2 linked regions of the Coturnix japonica genome follow. The protein of the gene in region 1 interacts with the protein of each later gene in a pairwise test. Links are inferred from orthologs where the notes say so. Each region holds a gene or a part of one and is shown in the gene's direction. Other genes may lie near its edges. The genes, in order: FAM102A and SKAP1.

Region 1 (10,125 bases):
AGCGGAAACTCTTTCCCAAGCTGGAAGAAACACCATCAGCTGGCTGGAAAACTGAGGAAACTATTAGGAAAGGTTACTTCTGAAAACATCCTCTTGCTAAGGGATCCTTCCTCTATATACTGGGAGTCTGCTTCCTGAGAAGGGCATCTGACCTCAGCACACAGTGTGGATGTGGATCAATGGATCCACCACTTTGGTGTTGCTCTCTGTGATTCTCTTGACACTCTGTTAATGCCTTTGGTGGAGGAAAATGGGGATCTGGGTCTTGACCACTGCCGTGCTGTATTGTGCAGTGCAACCACACCAGAGGAACCTTTTCTGTCCTCCAGTTCTGATGTGCTGCAGCTCAGTGTGTAGCTTTCTCCTCTCCACTTCATCTCTTTAAGATTAGAAAGTCATTGGTGTTGGTTTTTCTGTATTGCTGAATATTTCATAAGAAACGTAGCCCTTGACAAGAAGGAGAAAAAGATATACAGCAATGACTGGAAAAACATTGGAGTTAAGGGAATCCTTAAGAAGGGGGTGAGGGCTTTTCTTTTTTTTCTCTTTTTTTGGAGAAGAAAAGTTCCTGTTCTGTCCCACCCCTATTTTTTTTTTCTTTGCCATCAGCTCTTGTTCCCTTTTCAGAGTGAGATGAAGGAAGCAGAGCAGGTATCTTAATCTCGTTGCTATCATGCCTTGAATCATACTTCTTGTACAGGCATGTGTAGGCTGCGGCTTTAACTTTTGATTTGGAACAATGGGAGCCAGAGGTCACACAACAGTGGCTATGGTTTGTGCTGTAACTCCCATCAGCTTCCACAGATGGGAGCGCCACATTTCCTTAGCACAGAGTTATATTTTGAGGCTAAGTTCAGTTGTATCATCCAGGTTGTCAACACTAGGACAGGAGAAATGTACTTAAAAACTCAGGTCTAGCTATTATTCTACACATTGCTTTTCCACCTCTTTCCTTGTTCTTGTGGCAGCTGATCTGTGTGCTGAAGTGGTGCAGACCTTCTGTGCTGAGACTGTTTGGCCAAATGTGGGTTACATCATCTCTTCTGGTTAGATTAGATGAGACACAACTGACTTGTGTTGAGTTTGTAGGAAGCTGTGACTTTTTCTTTTGGGAAAGTGCTGTAATTCCTACAGTAGAAGTTAAAGCAGATAAGCAAAGCTAATCTTCATTGTGTTTGTACTCTAGAGACATCAAATAACCTGTTAGAATTTACCTGTAATCTTCCTGTCACCTTTTGTATTTGTTTTCTGTTTGTTAAAGAACGTTTAGAGATCTCACAGTTAACTCTTCTCTTCTGACTGTCAAGTGAGCTACTTGCTAGTTCAATCTTAGATGTTGAGGAAGCTGTGGTGCAGGAGTTCCCCAGCCACATCTGTAGCTGTAAAGCTCATACATTGCTGCATGGCTCTTGAATTCCAGCTTGCTGTGCTGCAAGGCTGTTTTGTATTTCAGGACAGCATCAACTTTGCCTTATAACAATACCCTTTCATCTCCTTGTTCATATGCTCCACTGCATTCTGGGATGGCCCAATACAAAGAGTACCTTATTATGTTTGTGTATGTGTGATTATGTTTTTTCCACATTGTTGACCTAGTGCCATCCATGTCCTTTGTTATGCAATGGCTACAGGCTGGTTAACGCTGTCCTGGCCAGCATTACTGCTCTGTTTCCTTCCTTGCACAGAGCTGATGTTCCTCTGAGTCACCTGGCTGGGGATGGGGAGTGTTGTCCCTTCCATTCTCAGGTATAAGGGTCTCATCAGCCATGTCTCTGCGTGCACTGGCTTGTGTTTCTGCTCTAACTCACAGGGGTGCTGTCTTCCTTTAGTCTGTGCATCTCCTTTATTGAGTTATTTGATTGTTTTTAATTTTTTGTTCTCTTTCCCTTTTCTTGATGGCAGCTGGGCTTTGCTGATCTAAATCTGGCAGAATTTGCAGGCTCTGGATCGACTGTTCGTTGCTGCTTGCTGGAAGGATACGATACTAAGAACACACGACAGGACAACTCCATCCTAAAGGTACAGCAGCTGGCACTGACATAGTGGAACTCCTACTACTGAATGCCAAAAGATCACAACCAGAGCATATTGCTGGGCCTGTAAGAAGATCCTGTTATGTACGGAGATGGGGTTTTGCTTTTATGCAGGTTGTCTGACTCAGGAAGCTTGTCAGAGTCACCCTTTGATACACTGGCATCCATTTGGCCAAGGAGTGAGCCTCAGTAGTATTCTGCCTCCTGCTGAGCTACTGCAACCTGGAGATATTGATGCCAGCCCTTTGGGGAGGGAGGGAATACCTTGCTAAATTCCCAAAGCTGGTCTTCTCTTGAGAAGAAGTAGGTCTCACTAAGCTTTACGCCAAGCCCTTGGCCTCCTCCTGAAGCAAGGAGCTCTCAGTGGTGTGGATGATGACATGCTTTGTTCTCTCTCTCCAGGTCACGATTGGGATGTCTCTGCTCTCAGGGGACCCCTGCTTCAAAACGTGAGTTTCTGAGTACTGATGTTGCTTTTGGGAGACCAGGACACCATGTGCTTTTTCAGTTTTTCTGCTGGGAAACTAAAATTGCTGGGAAGAGGAAAAAGGTGTCCTTGAGATTAGGAAATACAGGGGAGAGCCTGGACTATTGAATCAGCTAGAATAGCACAACAAGACTACTCTTGGTTCATTTGTTCTCTGCTCTGCTTCCCCCACTATAAAAAGGAAGAATCTACTATGGGGTAGGGGAATCCTGGATTTCAAAGCTAGTGATAACATCTGTGAGTGTTGGGAGATGCAAGGGGTGACCTGCAAAAGGTGTGTGTATGTGTCAGTCAGTTTTCACTGCTGCTCTGTGAGATGTTATCAGTGAAGTGTTTTTCTCACATTGGCCTTTTAAACTCAAAAACTGAATTTCTGAGTCCTTTGGACTGGGGATTGCCTTGTTTAGGGCCTTTTCCCCTACAGGGAAAGAAACAGGCTTGGTTGCACGCAGTACCTTCTTTTTCTTAATGTTGGTTAAGTTTTGGAAACTAATGAGTTTTAACAAACTTGGTGCTGTGCGCGAAGGGTAGAATTTCTCATAGCTCTGGGGATGGTTTCAGTGACCTCTGAGAAGGGAAAGGTCAGTGAGGAAAATGGTCTTGGGAATGAACATATTTTAGCACATACCATGCAAGATAAGGATGTTGACTTGAAACAGCAGCAAAAATACTGCAAAGCTGAAACATCTTAGTTCCCTTGTTCTTCTACATGGACCTGCATTCATAATTTGTTTTGATTAGTAGAGAAACTGTTACCATCCTTTCTTTCTTTTAAGTCCATTGCGATAAGAAAGGATAAATACAGTGAAGCTGTGATGCAGTTCTTTGTTTTAACAATTGTTGCAGCATCATTTAACAGATAGAACACACTGTGTGCCTTCATACTGCAGTACAAGGTTGTGAGGCTCTGCAATCTGGGCCAGCCTGCAGTAGTGTGCTGTAAGGCATGTGGCTGCACACACAGGACTGCTGTGTGCTAATTTGATTGTTTAGTGTTGACTCCAGCAGTGTGAGAGAAGAAGGCTTTACCTTCAGCTCATCTCTCATAGCAGTAATGTTCTGGGCTATAACGTCTAATTTTAGGTGCTAGTTTGCAGTGCATGAATTAGTTTGCGTTGTTATGAAGTGCCACATACCTCTTGATGTAATTTTTACCTTGTTAATACCTTTTCACAGTGTAGCAGAGACACTTTCAAACCAGAAATAAAGTACCACCTGATTCTGGAAAAAAGAAATGGCTTCAGGAGGAAAACTGGAGCATCTTAAACCACGTTAAATAGTGGCAGATGCTTTAAGGCCAGGTTACCAGGGTTAGTTTCAATGATAAAATGAAGTAATGGCTAATAACATTTGACAAAAATACCTGCTGCTTTTCCACTGTGGAAGCAAACCCTCACCTCTTTGCCTGAATATTATGCAGAATGGAGTATAAACATCAATTTAATAGAAGTAAGGTCAGTTTGAAAGTCAAACCTCCTTATTTTCTTAAAGTTTTTTTGTAGTCATCCCATTTCTTTTCTTTATATGGTGATGATGTACAAATGTCTAAAAATGGAAGCTTTGCATGTAGGATAGTCCTTGATCAGGAGAGCTTTTGAGAAATGACACTCATTAGAGGATTAGGCAAGAATTAAACTGTGCTGGGAAATCACTCCTGAACGTGCTCGCTGAGCACTTGCTTTCTGCAGCAGAGACAGAGCTTCTCCTGGGTGTCATACAGAGGGGAGCATGGGCTGCTTGCCTGACCTGGCAGCTGCTGCAGGAACAGCTTGCTTGCTTAAGGCAGTAAGGGCCTTGTTAACCTGTGAAACAGAGTCCCTAAAGTACCTGACTGCATGTAAATCCCTGATAATGCAATTAGGGAGGAGGCTTTTGGTGGTTGTTTGTTTTCTGTTTGTCTATTGTTTTTTCTGTTTGTTTTCCCCTGGGGAAGGCATGCTGTGGGTTTCCTGAAACCTTTGTATCTCTCTGGCTGCCATAAGAAATGTCTTTTCTCCCAAAACACTGGAAAGTTCCTCTCATGTAGCATCAACCCTCATTGGCCTCAAAGTTCCAAGTGAAACAAATAAAAGTTTTCCTTTCTCTCTCCTCGCTTGAAAAGCATACTATAATCCATTGGTTGCAGTTCAGACTTCAGGCTATAAGGAAGTGAGGGCTCCAACAGGAATATTAACCTTGCCATGCTGCACATGCCATGGCTTCTACCCAAAAACACTTCTGGAGGAAGGGAGGGGGGCTCCAGGCAATTGCAGTTCTATCCAAGAGCCAGCATTTACAAAGGGATGTTGCAAGCACACAGAATAACCAGAAAAATAATTTTGACAGCTGTAAAAATACTTTAGTCTCGTTGAAAATAAGTTTAATCATCAAATAAAAATGGAGAGGTTATTTAAGCATTGTAAAAGAGGGACAGGGGATAAAAGGCTTCTTTCTGGCCTGAGCCTGAAAGATGTAACAGAAGGGTGCTGGAATTTAGGGCTGGACAAAAGCAAACTGGTTCCTGTTTGTGAGGCTGACTGGCTGCTGGAACATGTGCTGGGGGAAAAGGGCAGCTCTGGATAGTTTCCTGGAGGATAGTGAGGTTGTCCTGTATAAATGATGGAGTGCTCAGTTTTTTGCCTTAATTTACATCAAAAACTTGCTTTTCCTTGTATTCAGCAGTTTGTAAAATGCTGCATCTGCAGTCCAGATGCATTATGAGATGGGGAAGACCTAAATATTGTATATAGCAAGGGGGTGGAGTGGGGGAGAGGGGAGGAAGCAGCAAATGTTACACTGTGCTGCTGGTCAGAGAGGCTGCCAGATGATCCCCAGTCCCTGCCTCACTGTTTGTAACACTTCTCTTGTGATTGCAGGCCGCCTTCCACCGCCAAATCCATTACTATACCAGGGCAGGATTCTACCCTGCAACTTACCTGCAAGGGTGAAGGAACCACAAGCAGCAACAGCAGTTCAGCCACAATTGGTTCTCTGCGTCAGACCAAGCCAAGAGCAACCATTCTCAGCTCGGGTAAGAGCGCCCATCCTGGAGCCATGCAATGCTTAGATGTACTTGGGTGCTTTCTCTTCTTTTTCTCAGCAATTGCAAACAGAGAAGTTCTTTAATATTTCATGATTTCTCAAACCCATTTTCATTGCTCTCAACTCATTTAGGAAAAACAAAACTCTCCATGCCTCTATAGGTGGAGATAAAGCAATCTTTTTTCCTGAGGATTTAATAATTAATGTATTGCGTTCATCTCTGCCTTCCATTGTGTTCAGTGACACTTAGCTTTGTTCTCCACTCAGCTATTCTTCTAGAAAAGCTTTGGTGGTTTTAGAGGTTGGTTTGAGATCTAATGGCCTTGATCCAGCTGCTGATGCAGAGTTCTTTGGCTTCTGTGTGAGCCCATTTTCAAGGACACTGCGTTTTCCTATTGCCTTTTTTCTTCCCAGCGTACTCTAAAATGTGCAGGCAGACACTGCACCAAAATAGAGCTCTGGTCACATAACCTCAGTGACAGCAAAGTGCACAGGTGATGATCTGGAAAAGCTTGCCAGCATGTTACGCTTGCATACTTTCAGATAAACTTGTTGCATGTGAGGCAAACTGGGGCAAGGGTAAAGAAACAGAGATTATCCTGAAGTTCCTGTATCAAGTTCATATCAAAGATATTATTTAAATGGTGTGGGCTCACAAATAATAGCAGGACAAAAGCCATGACAGGAGAAGTACCCAAACAGAAATTGTAATATTTTACTGATGGTGGCCATTTGATGCTTTCAGGCTGTTAGCTATCTGTAGTTAAAATCATTAACTTCTGGACATTGTCCTTCTAGGTCCTTCAAGGCCAAGGTTAATTCAGGTACTGGGTGCTAGAATTAATGATGAACTTAACAGAGGAAATTGTTGTCATTATCCCTAGTTCCAAAGTGCACGTAAGCTCTTTGCTACAGCAGGCTTCTACCTGCTTTCACTTTCCTTAATCTAGTGTCCCAGGATCAGCATCTAGTCTAAGGCAGCAGGCAGTACTGATGTGGTTGTGGTGTAACTGGAATGCCTTGTTTCTCAGCAGGTGTCCCTGAAGAACCAGATCAGAATCTGTCCAGCCCAGAGGAAGTCTTCCACTCAGGGCACTCACGGAACTCCAGCTATGCCAGCCAGCAGTCCAAGATCTCTGGTAACTATTGATCCACATGGTTGTGCCATCATTGGCTCCATCCTTTGCTGCAGCAAGCTCTCATGAGAGTGACTTGCAGCCTTATCTCTTACCCAGCAGTGTAATATCAGAGCTTCTTGGTCAGTCTCTGCAGATAAGTTCATAGATTTATGTATAAACCTCAGTATACAAGAGCAGAAGCTGTGCTGCGTGTTAACTCTGTCTTCAGGAAAGAGGGAAGGTGTGACTTGTAACTATGCTGCTGTATTTGCAGGTTACAGCACGGAGCATTCCCGTTCTTCTAGTATGTCTGACCTGACCCATCGCCGGAATACCTCCACCAGCAGTAGTGCATCCGGAGGGCTGAGCATGACGGTGGAATGCCCTGAGGGAGAGCGGGACCACAAACTAGAGAAGCCACCTCGCCCCCCCAGACCAGCTCTTCTGCTGGACAGACCTTCCCGGTAGGTAACTGTGGTGCAAAGCCCCCTCTTTGGGAAGCTGAGATGGAATTTATTCTCTGGTCTTTAACCAGCAGTAGGTTGGAATTAGCTGCTGAGAGAAGTACTGTTCCTAAAAGAAGTGAGAGAATTTAGAAGTCCATCAGTAAAGGCTGATTTTTTTTCCCTTGATTTTTTTTCCCCAGGAGAAAAAAGGATTCAGTGGAGAGTCACCCAACCCGTGTGGATGACACCAGGATTGATGCAGATGATATAGTGGAGAAAATAATGCAGAGTCAGGACTTCACAGATGTCAGCAATACTGAAGGTGAGAGCATGAGTCTCAAGAGGGGAAGTCTTGGCTGTTTCCTTAGCAAAGCTGCCAACCTTGTACAAAGCCAGATTTGGTCTGCTACAGACTCCCCCCTTTGACAGTAATTTTCTTTCAGTGGTTGCTAGGTGTTTCTATGGTAGTAAACCGTGGATTTGAGAGCTGTGCATCAATTTGCGAACAGTGCCTGCCACTGTTCTTCTACAGACCACAGCAGAGGTAAAAGAGTAGCTTAAACATAAGGGTGAGAGAGGAAAAACAAGTGTTTCTTCATAGCTTAGTGTTGTGCTTGATTTGTATATGAGACTCCCTTTTAAAGCAGGAGAGCTCTTAGGGGTCCAATTGCTATGGGAACACCATACAGTGTGCGTATGGATTCACAGAAATGCACTTGTTCCTCTGCTGAACATTCTGTAATGCAGCTGGGAGAGGAGAACTTGGCAATCACCAGAAGGAGTTCTGTACTTTAATGTCCTACTTCCTTTTCTATCTGCAGACAGTAACCTGCGGTTGTTTGTGAGCAGAGATGGAACAACTACACTGAGTGGTATTCAGCTGGGAAACAGGTAGGTTTCCTATAAGGACTGCAGACAGTCAGACTCCAGAGAGGTTACTTAGCTCTGGGTACACAGGGAACTTTCACCTTTGCAACAGAAGAGATTTCTAAACATCATGTGCTACGTGGTGGCTTTATGCCCACATTCACACCCCTGGGATCTCTCTGGTGACAGTCAGCAGTTGCCCTGGAGTGTGAATGCAGTTCACAGTGGAAGCTCGGAGAGATAATTTGATCCTAGTTTTTGGATCCAAGAACAGAAATAAGTGAGGAGTAAAAGGACACGGTGGTAAAGGTTGGTTCCTGTTTGGTCCTGCACTCACAGGGAGCTTTGCCTCCTGCTGGACTGCAGCAGAACTGCAACTCCCTTTTCCCTGCCCTCCATCTGTGTTGTGGATAAAGATTTCTGGAGAATAAAACTTTGTCTTGCCACAATAGCCCTCACTACAGTGTATTGACTAGTTGTGGGGAGGGAGGGGGGGGAGTTAAGTTTTAGCACCTTTAGTAGTATGAAAAACAATAATGGCAAACACAAAGATATGTCAAGTTGGTGGCAAAATTGGGAACAGAGTCAGGAATGCTTGTTCTTAGCACAGTGTGCTCCACCCAAGCCCTTTCCCTCTGTTCTCTAAAAGAATTTGTGCTTCACCCAACTCTGTCAGGCTGTAGTGTTAGTTTGCTATGTAGCTGTCTGTTTTGTGTTGTGTGGGTTGACTGCTCACCAGATCAACGAGTTACTGTCAGTATTTTCTGTGAGGTTAGAGGGATCATGCATGGAAAGCTCTGAATACAAACTAATTTGTTTTAAGTAATAGAAAAATAACCTGGCTTTCTCATCTTCTCCTCTGCGTCCTCAGGGTCTCATCTGGAGTTTACGAGCCAGTGGTGATTGAAACCCATTAAATGTGAAGAACAGGGTAGAGCTGCTGGAAACGGGCCCCCTACCCAGTCTGCTGCCACATGGATGCCAACCTTTACCTCTCTTCATGCAGCATTCCAGAAGGGATTTCTCCATGCCCCTCCCCATATGTTTGCACTGCAGAACTACTCCGAGACCACTCCAGATCATGCACTTTCCCTGTGTTGGCAGTACCCTCCTTCACTTCCCAGTTTTTCCAGTGCCTGCCCTCCCCGTTTGCAAACAGACACAAAGTGTCTGCTGGACTTATCCTTAGTCCTAGAGCATGTTGCTCTTCTGCATCCCTCACTGCACCCATCCCTTTGCAAAGGGGGATATCTCAGCTTGTCTCCCCAAAACATTGGGTTGTGCCACTGTGAACTCTTCAAACCACTTGGGGGGGAACCATTCTAACCAAACCAAGAGCTGCTTGTTGGTGACACGGTGAAACGGTTACTTGCAGGATGCTTTATTCCATTGACTGCAAGGGAACATCACCTTCTAAGGCAACAGTTTTATTGAGCAAGGTATGCAGTGGTGTACACTTCCCCTTCTTACACTTAAAACCCCAAAAATCTTTTTTCTCATAGGAAATATCTCCCAAAAGTGCATTTCAGAAAATTACCACAATCCAGATGGGAGTTGATAAATGGTTAAATGCTAGTGCTTGTTATACCACTAACTGTATTACACCCTTCCACTGCTGGGCATGGAAGGGTAGTGTTCAGCTATTAGCATTAGCAGGAGCACTTTAGAGGTTCCGGATTTTACCTGGAGGAGCCTTGTCTCTGTTCTTCCAGGAGAATAATCTGTGTTTGCTGGGTTGATTCAGCAAATAGTCACTGTTGAATCTTGGGGTACAATGCCTCCTTTTTGGCTTAGGAAGGGAATTGCTCTTCTTGGACTGTGAAAAGATTATCTCATGGCCATCCCTTGGGCCAGAGCGGGATGCAGTTGTCTGCAGTGGTCTCTTTGGTTTGGTGGTTAACAATTGCCTCTCCTGGCTTGGGCTGGTAAGGTAATTGGTGCTGGTTGTCCTTTCTTGACTTGTCAGTAAGAATCTATGCCTGAGCTGATTCTTTCTGGGACTGGGGAAAAGCTCTGCTTGTAGGGCAAGATAAACCCGCTACCTTCACCTTCAAAGGTAGATTGGATATTTTCTGCTGTTCTCTCTACAGCAGCAGTTCTTACCCACTCTGTGGAGAGTCAACTTTTCTGACAAGGTTTCAAGCTTTTCTGGC
Region 2 (10,225 bases), on another chromosome or scaffold:
TAATGTGGGTTTTTGTCCTAAATCTTTGCTTTCTCTCTGGAGCAGACAGGGAACTCCCCCTCCTCTGTAGTATTTGATGCCCTCCCTTAACTCCATCCCTCTCCCTCAGCCCTGCTGGCAACCCTTGGTGTTGGCTGCTTGTAGGAAGCGTCCCCTCTGCAGCCTTAATGAAGTGTGTGGCAGTCCTCCTCATTAAGACTTGGTGTTGTCAATAAAAGAGTCATTAAAGTAGTTTGATGAGGGTTGGGAGAAAGAGAAAAGGTGCTGCAACACATCTACAGGGCAGAGGGCAGCTCCATCACACATTGTAACCAAACAGCAAGGGATCAATATCACCTTTGCATTAAACTGAAACCCATCCGTCAGCCTGAGGAGCAGCAGCCTCCCCGAGAGCTCAGCTCAGTGCTCTTCTCTCCCTTCCTATCTTTCCCATCCTCTCATTTACAGACCGTCCTTTTCCTGATGCTCATGAGCTGTTCCAGGAGGCCACAAAAGGCCACTTGGGATTTAAGCAGTGTAACCCATTCTCCACATCTGGCTGTAGCATCACAACACAGATGCTGGGAGATGCCTCCTCTCTTAGACCACCTGCAACCTTCATGGACACACCCAGGAAAGGAGCCCCAGCACATCCTTACCATGTGCCATCTCCACCACAGAAGCACAGGAGAATCACATCAATGGGGTCCTACTGGAATGCCCTGCTGTTACCAGAAACAATTACACTCTATACATTGTAATATATACACCTCAACACATCTGCTTGCTTCCAAGGAGCCTTCACGACAGAGAAAATGCAGCATGTCTGGGAGGTAAGTGAATCCAGAATCTGGCAGTCTATGCCAGCAGCAAGGTCTGCTAATTTAGATTTGCACTGGAATCAAATCTGTTTGCCATAAGTCAGAGCTGCAGCTGCCGACACATTTTTGTTTCTCATTGGCTTCAGGAACTGATGAACGGTCACCTGGTGAAGCAGAGGTGCAGGGCCAAATAGTGCGGACATGGGAAGACCACTTAGCCTTAAAAAAGGGGAAAGATGATTTATGAGGGTTGTAACCAACCTTTAACTGAATGACTTGGTCGCATGAGAAGGAAGATACATGAGCTGTTGGGCAATGGAACCGACGTAAGCATGTAAACTCTGGGATTACAGCAGAGCATTAGCATGGCACAGCTGATTAGTAAACCAGGAGAAATTATTCAAGCAGTCAGGTGCAAGACCAGATTGGAAAGAGGCCTTTTTTTCTTTACTGAGTTGTTGGTCACTGTCAGAGGCAGCAAATGACACCCAGTGGTCCAACAATTTGACCTGGAATGGCAGGAGCTGTGATACAGAAATAGATGGACTGGCATCTGTTCTGAAAGAGCAAGAATGAAAGTCTGCTCTGAACTGGCAGGAGCCACAACACCGGAAAGGGAGGACAAAAGGGCAAGTGAGTGTATTACCAAAGAGAGCAAGAAGGATGAATAAAGAGGCTGGAAATGTATCTCCAGTGCTGCAGTGCCAGACTAGGTGAACAAATGACCTGATCCCGTTTAATGAAGCCTGTGATCCTCCACCCCCCCCTCTGCAGAACGGGCGTCCCAGGGTCAGCGTGTGCCTGCGTGAGCATGCACACATCCTTATCTAATTACTAAAAGTTTCAGATTAATTTCGGCGCAGCTGCTTGAAAGGGCTGTTATCAGGCGAGGCTTTGCGGTTTAACCTTGTTACCCTTTTGTCGTTAACCTTTCTGAATGGCAGAGGGGAAGGCTTGAGAGATCGTGATGTGCTGGAAGAGCAGGAAAAGGGGGCAGATGGGAAGCGAGGAGCCTGCATCCCCAGGCTGTGTGCATCTAGCTCCTCTCCTGGCTGTATGACACACCAGCTGGCTGCTCACCTGCATTGACAGGCACTGCACCCAGCCACACCGAGCAGCCCATTGCAGGGACACAGCTCCTGCCAGCCCCTCCAGATCCTTGGATATTTCCCACTCTCCCTTTTTACCTTGCATTGCTCAGCTCTTCGCAGGCTGCCCTGCTTTGTTTCCATAGCTACACGCAACCACATCTGGCTTCTTCCTGAGAAATTGGATTTCAAAGCAAGACGGAGCCTTCAAAGGAATTTGTCCATTTAAAAGAACAGCATTAGGGGAGAGTCCGACTGCTCAACTCCAGGATTAAAATGATGAAGGTGGGGCTTTTATCATGAGGCAGCTTTACACCTACAGCCCACAAAGTGTGATGCTACAGAGCAGTGATGCAGGGGTAGCTGCCAGCCGCTGCCAGACCCCCTCATCTCCTTCCCAGCTGACCACTGAACTAAGTGTGTTGCCTATTCATGCTTTCAAAAACAAAAGTGGCAAGGAAAAGGTCATTTGCTGGGGACTCAGCCTGCCTGGCTCTGTCTGCAGAGGGGTGAGGTTGAACAGAAGGGTTGGCTTTGCTCGTGCATGGTGTGAAGGCTGTGTGAGCACATACATCTGCACGGCAGCTGAGACTCTATGGCAAAATGGATTCCATTTTAGCAACATCTGCTGCATGGTCAGTATTGTCTTAATATCTTCAGATAGGGCCTGAGGGGGACATCCAAGGTGCTGATCTCTGCCTCCAGGCTGTGGGATGGATGTACAATCCAAGACCAGCCAGCACACCTCCACACATTACACTACACTCAAAGCTACTACGATAACCTCAAGATCTGCAGCAAAAGACCAGAAATCACAATGTGTTTCAGCAGCCCAGATCTAAAGCTAAACCAACGAGGTAAACACTGCAACAGGAAACGTGTTGGGTGAAATCCCCACACATGCAGCGAGCACAAACCAGGCAGCAAAGGAAGGTGAAGCCCCACCAACAACACCTGCAAATCAACTCGCTGCTCGTTTGACATGAAGCAAAACTTCCCCCATCCCCTAAATATGATAAAGTGGTTTGTCTCTTGGGCAAGGCTCACTGACTGGCTTCTAATTCACTCTTTGCACCACGCTTTCAGAGCTACAGATATGCAGAAAACCCATGAGATGATCCTTCTCTTTGCAGTTGTAAGAGTGTTTTTCCTTCTGAGATTTGCATTGATCAGGTTTCATTGATCTCTCTGGCACGTCTGAAGGCAGTTTCTTCCATCTACATGACCCAGTTCATCCCTTTATAAACTCGGCTTTTAATGTTAGGCACTCTCAGCAAGCAGCTGCTTTTTATTTGCAGTCTGTAATGAACTGAGGAGGATTTCTATGGAGAAGCATTTAAATATTTATCCCTAAACACCTCCAGGTGAGAACAAGCATACAGATCCATCTACTGTACACCCACCTGCATGCATTACCATTCCTTGCATACAATAACAGCAGCTCCCATCTGCCAGGAGCCGTGGGCAGCTCACAGAAGTTCCCATTTTGCTCCCATAGGAGACTCACTTTTCCCAATCCTGCTTCATGAAACCCTACCTGACTAGCAGATGTAATGGCAAAGACTCCTGTCTGTGACGGAGATGCATTCCAGCAAGTCAGTCTGCTGTGCAAGGCCTTCTGAATGGCAGCAATGATTTCCATGCTGCATCCAGTGCTGCTGCAAAGCAATTCCTCACACAGCATCCCAAAAGCAAGAACGTGCTGCAAAACTACTGGCAGAGTGTGCAAACTCACATAGTAACATGCAAAGTAAAAGGGAAAGGATGGAAATCAAGTGAATTTTAGATTCAGAATAGGAAACTTGTGTGCTCCAAAGGCACCAAACATGCATTTAGACACAGTGCCTTCATCAGAGCCCTCCATTCTCACTGCTTTTACATATAGAGTTGCTGTCCCAACCTAAAATAACTCTGCAGTCATTAGAGGTGTTTTCTTTCAGATTAAGGAGGCTGGGTTCAAAATTTGGGAATACAAGGATGGAAAATATTAGCAGTATATCCCCATGGCCAGCCTGCATTAATTCATTTGTATAGCAGAGGAGCGGATGTGGGACTGTAGGTTAATCTAATGCAATGCCACTTTTGTTTTGTAGAGTGCAGTTTGCACTTATTGACTGTCAAAGGCAAGTTAAAGTGCACAACCCTCCTATTTCTCCGGGCAAGATAGAAATATGAGCAGCTATTACGCTCTATCCCCTTCCTATACAGGATGTAGGAAGTGGGGATGTTTAATTGCAGAGCAGCCAAGAGCTGCTTCTCTTCCTAAGCATTAGGGGATGGGGGTTTGGTTCTGTTTGGAACAGACCCAACCCATCTCCTGTTGTGCTGGGGGTCGGCACAGGGGGGGGTTAAAGCAATAGCCATACAGCTCCGGGTCTGCTGTACCAGCAGGTGCGCTGAATTGTGCGCTAATGAAGGAGATGCTCGCCTAACTGCCACCTGATTAAAATGCTAATGCAGGGAGTTCGCTATCAGCTGTGTTGTTGCTGGGGGAAGGGGGGGGGAGGGTTGGGCTTTTTGTAGTTAGTTGGGCAGAGCTCAGCACCTTGATTGCCTCTTGTGAGGCTGAAAGAGGAGGAGGAGGCATCGTTTGAGCAGAGCTCTGCAGTTCCTTCCACTTTCTTCGGGGTGTCCCCACCCCCTCTGCTTCCTTTCCTCGTTCTGTCCCTGCAGCTGAGGGACCAGAGCATCAGGTTTGACTGGTGGAAAGGAGGTGGCAGGGCCATGATCCCAGAGGACATTCAGAGACTCCTTGCAGGTAACCCCCAATTCCTCCTTGCTGCTCTCCTGTTTAGCAGGAAAGGCTTGCAGTTATTGCAGGGGAAGAGTCTGAAAGGCCTTTAGCATCTCATTGAGCTGATCCAGGGAGGGGAATGGGAGGTCTATAAGAGTTACTTTTCTTCTATAGCTGATGGGTGGCTTTGTGGTCCTCATGTTGTATGTGTGGCTTATGCATCCCTAATCCTGATGAGAGAAGCATAGGGGACGTGGCTGCTTGTCCCAGTGCTCTCAGTATTATGTGTGAGTGCCAGGAGTTGGTAGGTGGGTCTGTGCCTCTATTAGGAGAGGGGCAACTCTTTAGTGGTCTCGGGGGCTGTGCTTGTAGAGGAAGAGAGAGTATATAAAGTTAAGGGGTGTTTTCTCCCTACCACGTGCTTTCAATTAAAACATTGTGTGGGCTGTGCTGGCACCCAGCATCACTGGGTGAGCCAAAGGGCAGGCACACAGGGTAGAATAAACTTGTGTGTTGCAATGAGACCCCCCCCTTCCCCTGGCTTTTGCTACAGCTGTGGTAGTGCAAGTAACTGCTGTTTCTTTAGTGTCATCCTTTGGGGTGTATTTATGCAAACAGGGGAACCTATACTCAGGGTTTGTGGGTTTTTTTTTCTCTCCAGTATTGCCTTGCCTTCTGCAGTCACCTCTACTCACATGCTGGCTTCCCCCTACCCTGCTGACTCTCATTGACCTTCCTATATATAAAGCCTGAGCAGCAGCACTGCAGGCTGCAGCCTTAGCCCATTGCTGCATGTTGCTGGCACATCCTGCTGCTGTAGGTGCAGGCAGGTGGTGAGAAGGAGCTGTTTGCATTCTGCTGCTTGATGCTCTGAGCTGTTGTTTGAGCCTGACCTGCTCTGCCTCGAGGTTTCATGACCTTTGGTTTCCTGTTGCTCATCTCCTGACAGCACCAGCCCCAGTCATATCACAGAACAGCCTGGGTTGCAAAGGCCCATAATGTTCATCCAGTTCCAACCCCCTGCTGTGTGCAGGGTCACCAACCAGCAGCCCAGGCTGCCCAGAGCCACATCCAGCCTGGCCTTGAATGCCTGCAGGGATGGGGCATCCACAGCCTCCTTGGGCAACCTGATCCAGTGCATCAACACCCTCTGGGTGAAAAACTTACTCCTAATATCCAACCTAAACCTCCCCTGTCTCAGTTTAAAACCATTTCCCATTATCCTATTGTTATCCATCCTCATAAACAGTTGTTCCCACTCCTGTCTATATGCTTCCTTCAAGTATTGCAAGGCCACAATGAGGTCTCCCTGAAGTCACCCCAACACTGAGTTCCTTCCAGTCCTGGTTCCAACACCCAGAGCACACACTGAGCCTCCCAGCCCATCAAAGCTCCCTCCCAAATGCATTGTGTCTTCTCCCAGATGTAGGTGTGAATTCTCCCCTCTGCTTTTTAATCGCGGAGGCTTTGGTGGAGTTCACCCTTTCCCATTTTTGATGTGCAGCTCTTTATTGTTTGCTGCTGACGCTTCTGTAAACAACTCATTTCTGCACCTGCCACCTTCCTTTAACTTAGATTATTTTCTTGTTAGCTGACTGTTTTTAATTGAAGGCTTCAGATCTCCTTCTAAAGCACAGCCTTTGTTTGCTGACAAGTAGAGCAGGCTATGAATGGAGATTAATTGCATGTCACATACCTCTGTATCAAACTTGCTGTGTCTTAACAATCTATACAGACTCGAGGCCTTCCAGGGGCTGAGGAGGTTTCTTGCTATGCAGGAATCAGAGGAGCTTAAGCTCATCAGGTTTTCAAACTGTGTTATAATAAGAATTCTTGTATTTAATTAAAGCGTTACAACTCAAAGAGCCAACGTGTATTGGTGTATGGGCCATAATGTCTGCTTCCCTACATTAAGCTTTGTTCCATAGTGCAGGGCTGTATGCAAGGTGCCCAAAGGGCCAGTAGCCAACTGCTAGCTTCCATCAGCCTCACTGTTATCACAGAAGACATCTCTGAGGTTGCAGTGGTTGAAAGCTGATATATCATGGCTATCTTCTCTACGCTGTGATGCTGCAGTGCTTCTGAATGCTGATAGCCTTATATTTATGAATAGATGTGGTTGGGACAGTTATATTACTCTGATCACATCACAAATAAGCAGCCCAAGTTGTCGTTACTTGCATGGGGTTTCAGTTTTGGTTCAGTCCAAGAGGCTGTTTTGCAGTTTTCCTCTAAAGGCTGAAACAGTGGTTCTTAATGTGACTTGAGTTGGTTTTCTGTTGGCAGATGGGTAGAAAAGAACAACAAGTGTTGGTTGGGGTGTGGGCACAGGAGAGATGCACACAGCCTCTAAATACCTTTCAGCTCTGCTCTCTGAGTGATGATTAACTCAGAGATTTAGTGCTGCCATTAAAAGGTTATTTACTCACCAGACTGGGGTGGCTGTGACATAACTCTTACAATGCTGTGCTCTGCGTGTGGGATTAAAGTGGATGACTGCAATTGCCTCTAGAAACCCTCCTGAAGCACTTGATGAAATCTCAACTGTTTTCCTTTTTATTCCTTCCCCCCCTCTCTTACCTTTGGTAGCTGCAGGAAATGAAAGGGAGAGTCCTGTAAACTTTCGGAGTGGATCACAGAGAGCAATCTATAAACATCAAGAATATAACGTTACTGACAAGCAGTAAAACTAACATTGGGGTGATTTACTCCGGAGCTGCTTACATATTGCTCTTCCTGATCCACTTGGAGAGTTTATGGTCAGGCTTTCTTTTTCATTTCCTGGTGCTATAAACATTGTGGCTGGCTCTGAAAAGGGCTCTGCCTGCTTTGCAGGAGGGACCACAGTTCTGTTATAACTTATCCAGCAGCTGATCTGTGCTGACATGGCAGCAAGTAAATACCATATTGCAGCTGATGGCATGCTCACGGAGCTGATCTGTGCTTAAAAAGGGCACAAGAGCAGCTGATGTTGGCCCAGTTTGTGGTTCTTGTTTGTTCTCATTGCAGCCTGCAAGGGTTTCTCTCGCTGGCTGATCTCTACAGTGTTGTCTTAAAGCTGATTTGTACATAATAAACTGTCCCTTCAGCCTCCATCTCTTCTTACATTAAGTTTCTCAGGGCAAGGTTATGTTCTTGGTGCCTAGATATGTGTATGTGGTTCTTACTTATGTTATTTGTAAGCAGTGCAAGTCCAGCACTGTTTTGTTTGTCCTAAGTCAGTGCTGTATCTTGGAGGGGGAATTAAAACAGTGTAGAGATGTGCTGAAAATGAAACTTAACCAAAGCAAAAGATCCAGCAGAGCCTCAGTGGGATACCAGGCAGGGTGAGGGTGTTCTCTCCTCCTTCTTCAGGCTGCATCTCTCTGCTCCTCTTCATCACTGTAAAGACAAAGTGGGAAGGGATTCCTGTTTGTGGGGGTGCACATCTGCCCCGCTTCCTGAGCACACAGCTTGCTCTGTCCTTGCTTCTGTCCTTTGCTTCAGAAAGATGCGTTTCTCTATTTCCCCTCCAGCTCTCAGCCTTTCTTATGTTTGCCATAAATAGGTGATGAAAATAAGAGCTCGTGACTTTAGCAGGGGGAGTTATTCATTTCTCCTGTGGCACTTTGATCTTCTGTGCTCGCAGGTAGAGGAACTGTTTTGTTAAGGAGCTATAAAGGTTCCTGGGGCATGCTGAGCAGTGCTGGCTGCTGTACCGGCAGCTGAAGCATAAGGAGCTGCAAGTCTTGCAAGCAGGATATTAAACTGACATTAGTGTCACAGTATGGGGCGTGAATTAAAGGTTGGAGAGGGCTGTGGGTGTACAGCATCACAGCTTTGAAGCCAAGCTTTGCTAGAGGAAAGCAGCAGTAAAGCTGCCGGAGGACAGGGATGATGATGCTTTCATTTACAGAGCAGGTGTGGTTGGAAATGTTCTGTTTTTCTAAGAGGCTTCTGTTAGGAGTATAAATATTCATCCAAATAGAAGGCACTTAATCTACCTGTAGTCTCTTTGTCTTTCAGTTCAGGTTAGATTTCTACACCTAGCTGTGCTTTTCAAGTGAGAGAGTATCACATTTACTTCTGCCAAGCTGTCCTGTTGGGCAAGCACAATGTATCTGAGCATTAGCAGAGAACGTGGTGTGATATATCTGTATGTGGGTGAGTGCACAACCAACCTAGTGTTCAATGCCTGCTCCTTAGGAGGGTTATTTCAGTGAAAACCACAAGCTGGGATTTCATTTAAGTGATGGGTGTAAGGTGTCCGCTGTATTAGAAGTGTTTTGGCTACTTCTGTGAATGGCAGCCTTTCATAGCAGTGGATTTTTAGGGTTTGGGGATGTAGGGAGGTATATAGGAGGTGTTGGGTGCTGCACACAACAGAGTAAGGCAGTGGTTAATGAGAGAAGTAAATGCATGTGGTGGAAGAGTGATGTTCATGCAAGGCATCTGACCTGAGCTAACTCTAATTGCTGGGTGTCAGTGGGGGACAGACCCACTGGAAGCTGTGAATCCTGGTGTCTCATGGTGGGCTGACAGTCTGTCTTCCTCATATCTGCACTAGGGCTTTCTGATCCTTGAGATGCTGATGCTGTTCTCATCCAAGGATGGGTAGCATTAGCTTCCCATTAGCTTTAACTTGTTCCTTTCCCTTTACTCAGATGCTGAGTGCTTCCTGGTGGATGGACTGCAGAATGAAAACTTGAGCCCTAAAGCAAGGGAGCAGAGGAACACGATTCTCTTTGGCTTCCAGCAAGCCAAAGCCAGGTATGTGTTGTCTCTGTATGTGTCTCCTAATGAACAGTGCCATAACTTGGGGTACTGCATGCTGTATTCAGGCAATGGGACAATTGGCCTGTGCTTTGGAAGATAATGAGCATTCAGGAGCTGCTATAATTGAGAGTATGCTGTGTCCTTCTGTTTACATCAGCTGGTTATATTTGGTTGTCTGTGGAGTTAACAGACTCCAAAGGTAGGCAGTGATGCTTCTTAAAGCAGGAAACATGATTTGGGCAGCATCTGTACAGCTCTTTGCATACGAATCTGATGCTCTTCTTCCTTCACCACGGTGCTATTGGGGGTTTTGTGTATAGGGGGGAAAATCCATTACTTGATGCTGAGATATGTGGATAAATCAGTACAGTATACAAAGGCTCACACTGCTGGCTTGCTGCTGAAAGTATCCATTCCATGTGTGGCTCCTGAGCCCAAATACACATTGCATGTAATCTGGCACAGTAAAAAGGAGAGAAGATGATTTCCTATGTTAAACCTCTGAACTGTGTTCCCAAACCTGATGACCTCAGCCTTGTTCAGGTCTTGAATGAGGGTGGGAGCTGCGTCACTTGGATTCAAGAGCAAAGCAGACAAAGGTTGTGTTGCGGTGCTAGGGGAGGATCAAGGAACATAAAACAGAAAGCATGTTGCTGGAGGCTTAAATGCAACTTGGAGCCTCAGCTGCATTATATTTCTGGCTGGAAATGTGATGTATAGCTTGTTGTTAGTGTTCTAGTTAAAAGATATGAGTTGTGTCATTTGAAGTTAAGACCTGACAATAAAACTCAGGGTGGCTGAGTGATGGAAGCATCCCATTGAAATAAAACTGCTGTCAAGTCCCTGAG

What was found.
Region 2: the proteins of FAM102A (region 1) and SKAP1 interact in binary tests that used the Homo sapiens proteins (3 or more experiments, as listed by UniProt). The two-hybrid records come from large-scale screens. The link is inferred for Coturnix japonica from reciprocal best matches to the Homo sapiens genes EEIG1 and SKAP1.

What each region holds. Positions count from the first base shown.
Region 1 is NC_029532.1:3,605,040-3,615,164, forward strand, and holds the end of FAM102A (protein FAM102A), read left to right. Parts: intron 1-1,902; coding exon 1,903-2,019; intron 2,020-2,435; coding exon 2,436-2,482; intron 2,483-5,375; coding exon 5,376-5,530; intron 5,531-6,572; coding exon 6,573-6,680; intron 6,681-6,933; coding exon 6,934-7,123; intron 7,124-7,305; coding exon 7,306-7,427; intron 7,428-7,926; coding exon 7,927-7,996; intron 7,997-8,843; coding exon 8,844-8,889; 3' UTR 8,890-9,331; downstream 9,332-10,125. UniProt on the Homo sapiens protein: Key component of TNFSF11/RANKL- and TNF-induced osteoclastogenesis pathways, thereby mediates bone resorption in pathological bone loss conditions.
Region 2 is NC_029542.1:3,279,558-3,289,782, forward strand, and holds the start of SKAP1 (src kinase-associated phosphoprotein 1), read left to right. Parts: upstream 1-4,438; 5' UTR 4,439-4,612; coding exon 4,613-4,646; intron 4,647-9,265; coding exon 9,266-9,371; intron 9,372-10,225. UniProt on the Homo sapiens protein: Positively regulates T-cell receptor signaling by enhancing the MAP kinase pathway. Required for optimal conjugation between T-cells and antigen-presenting cells by promoting the clustering of integrin ITGAL on the surface of T-cells.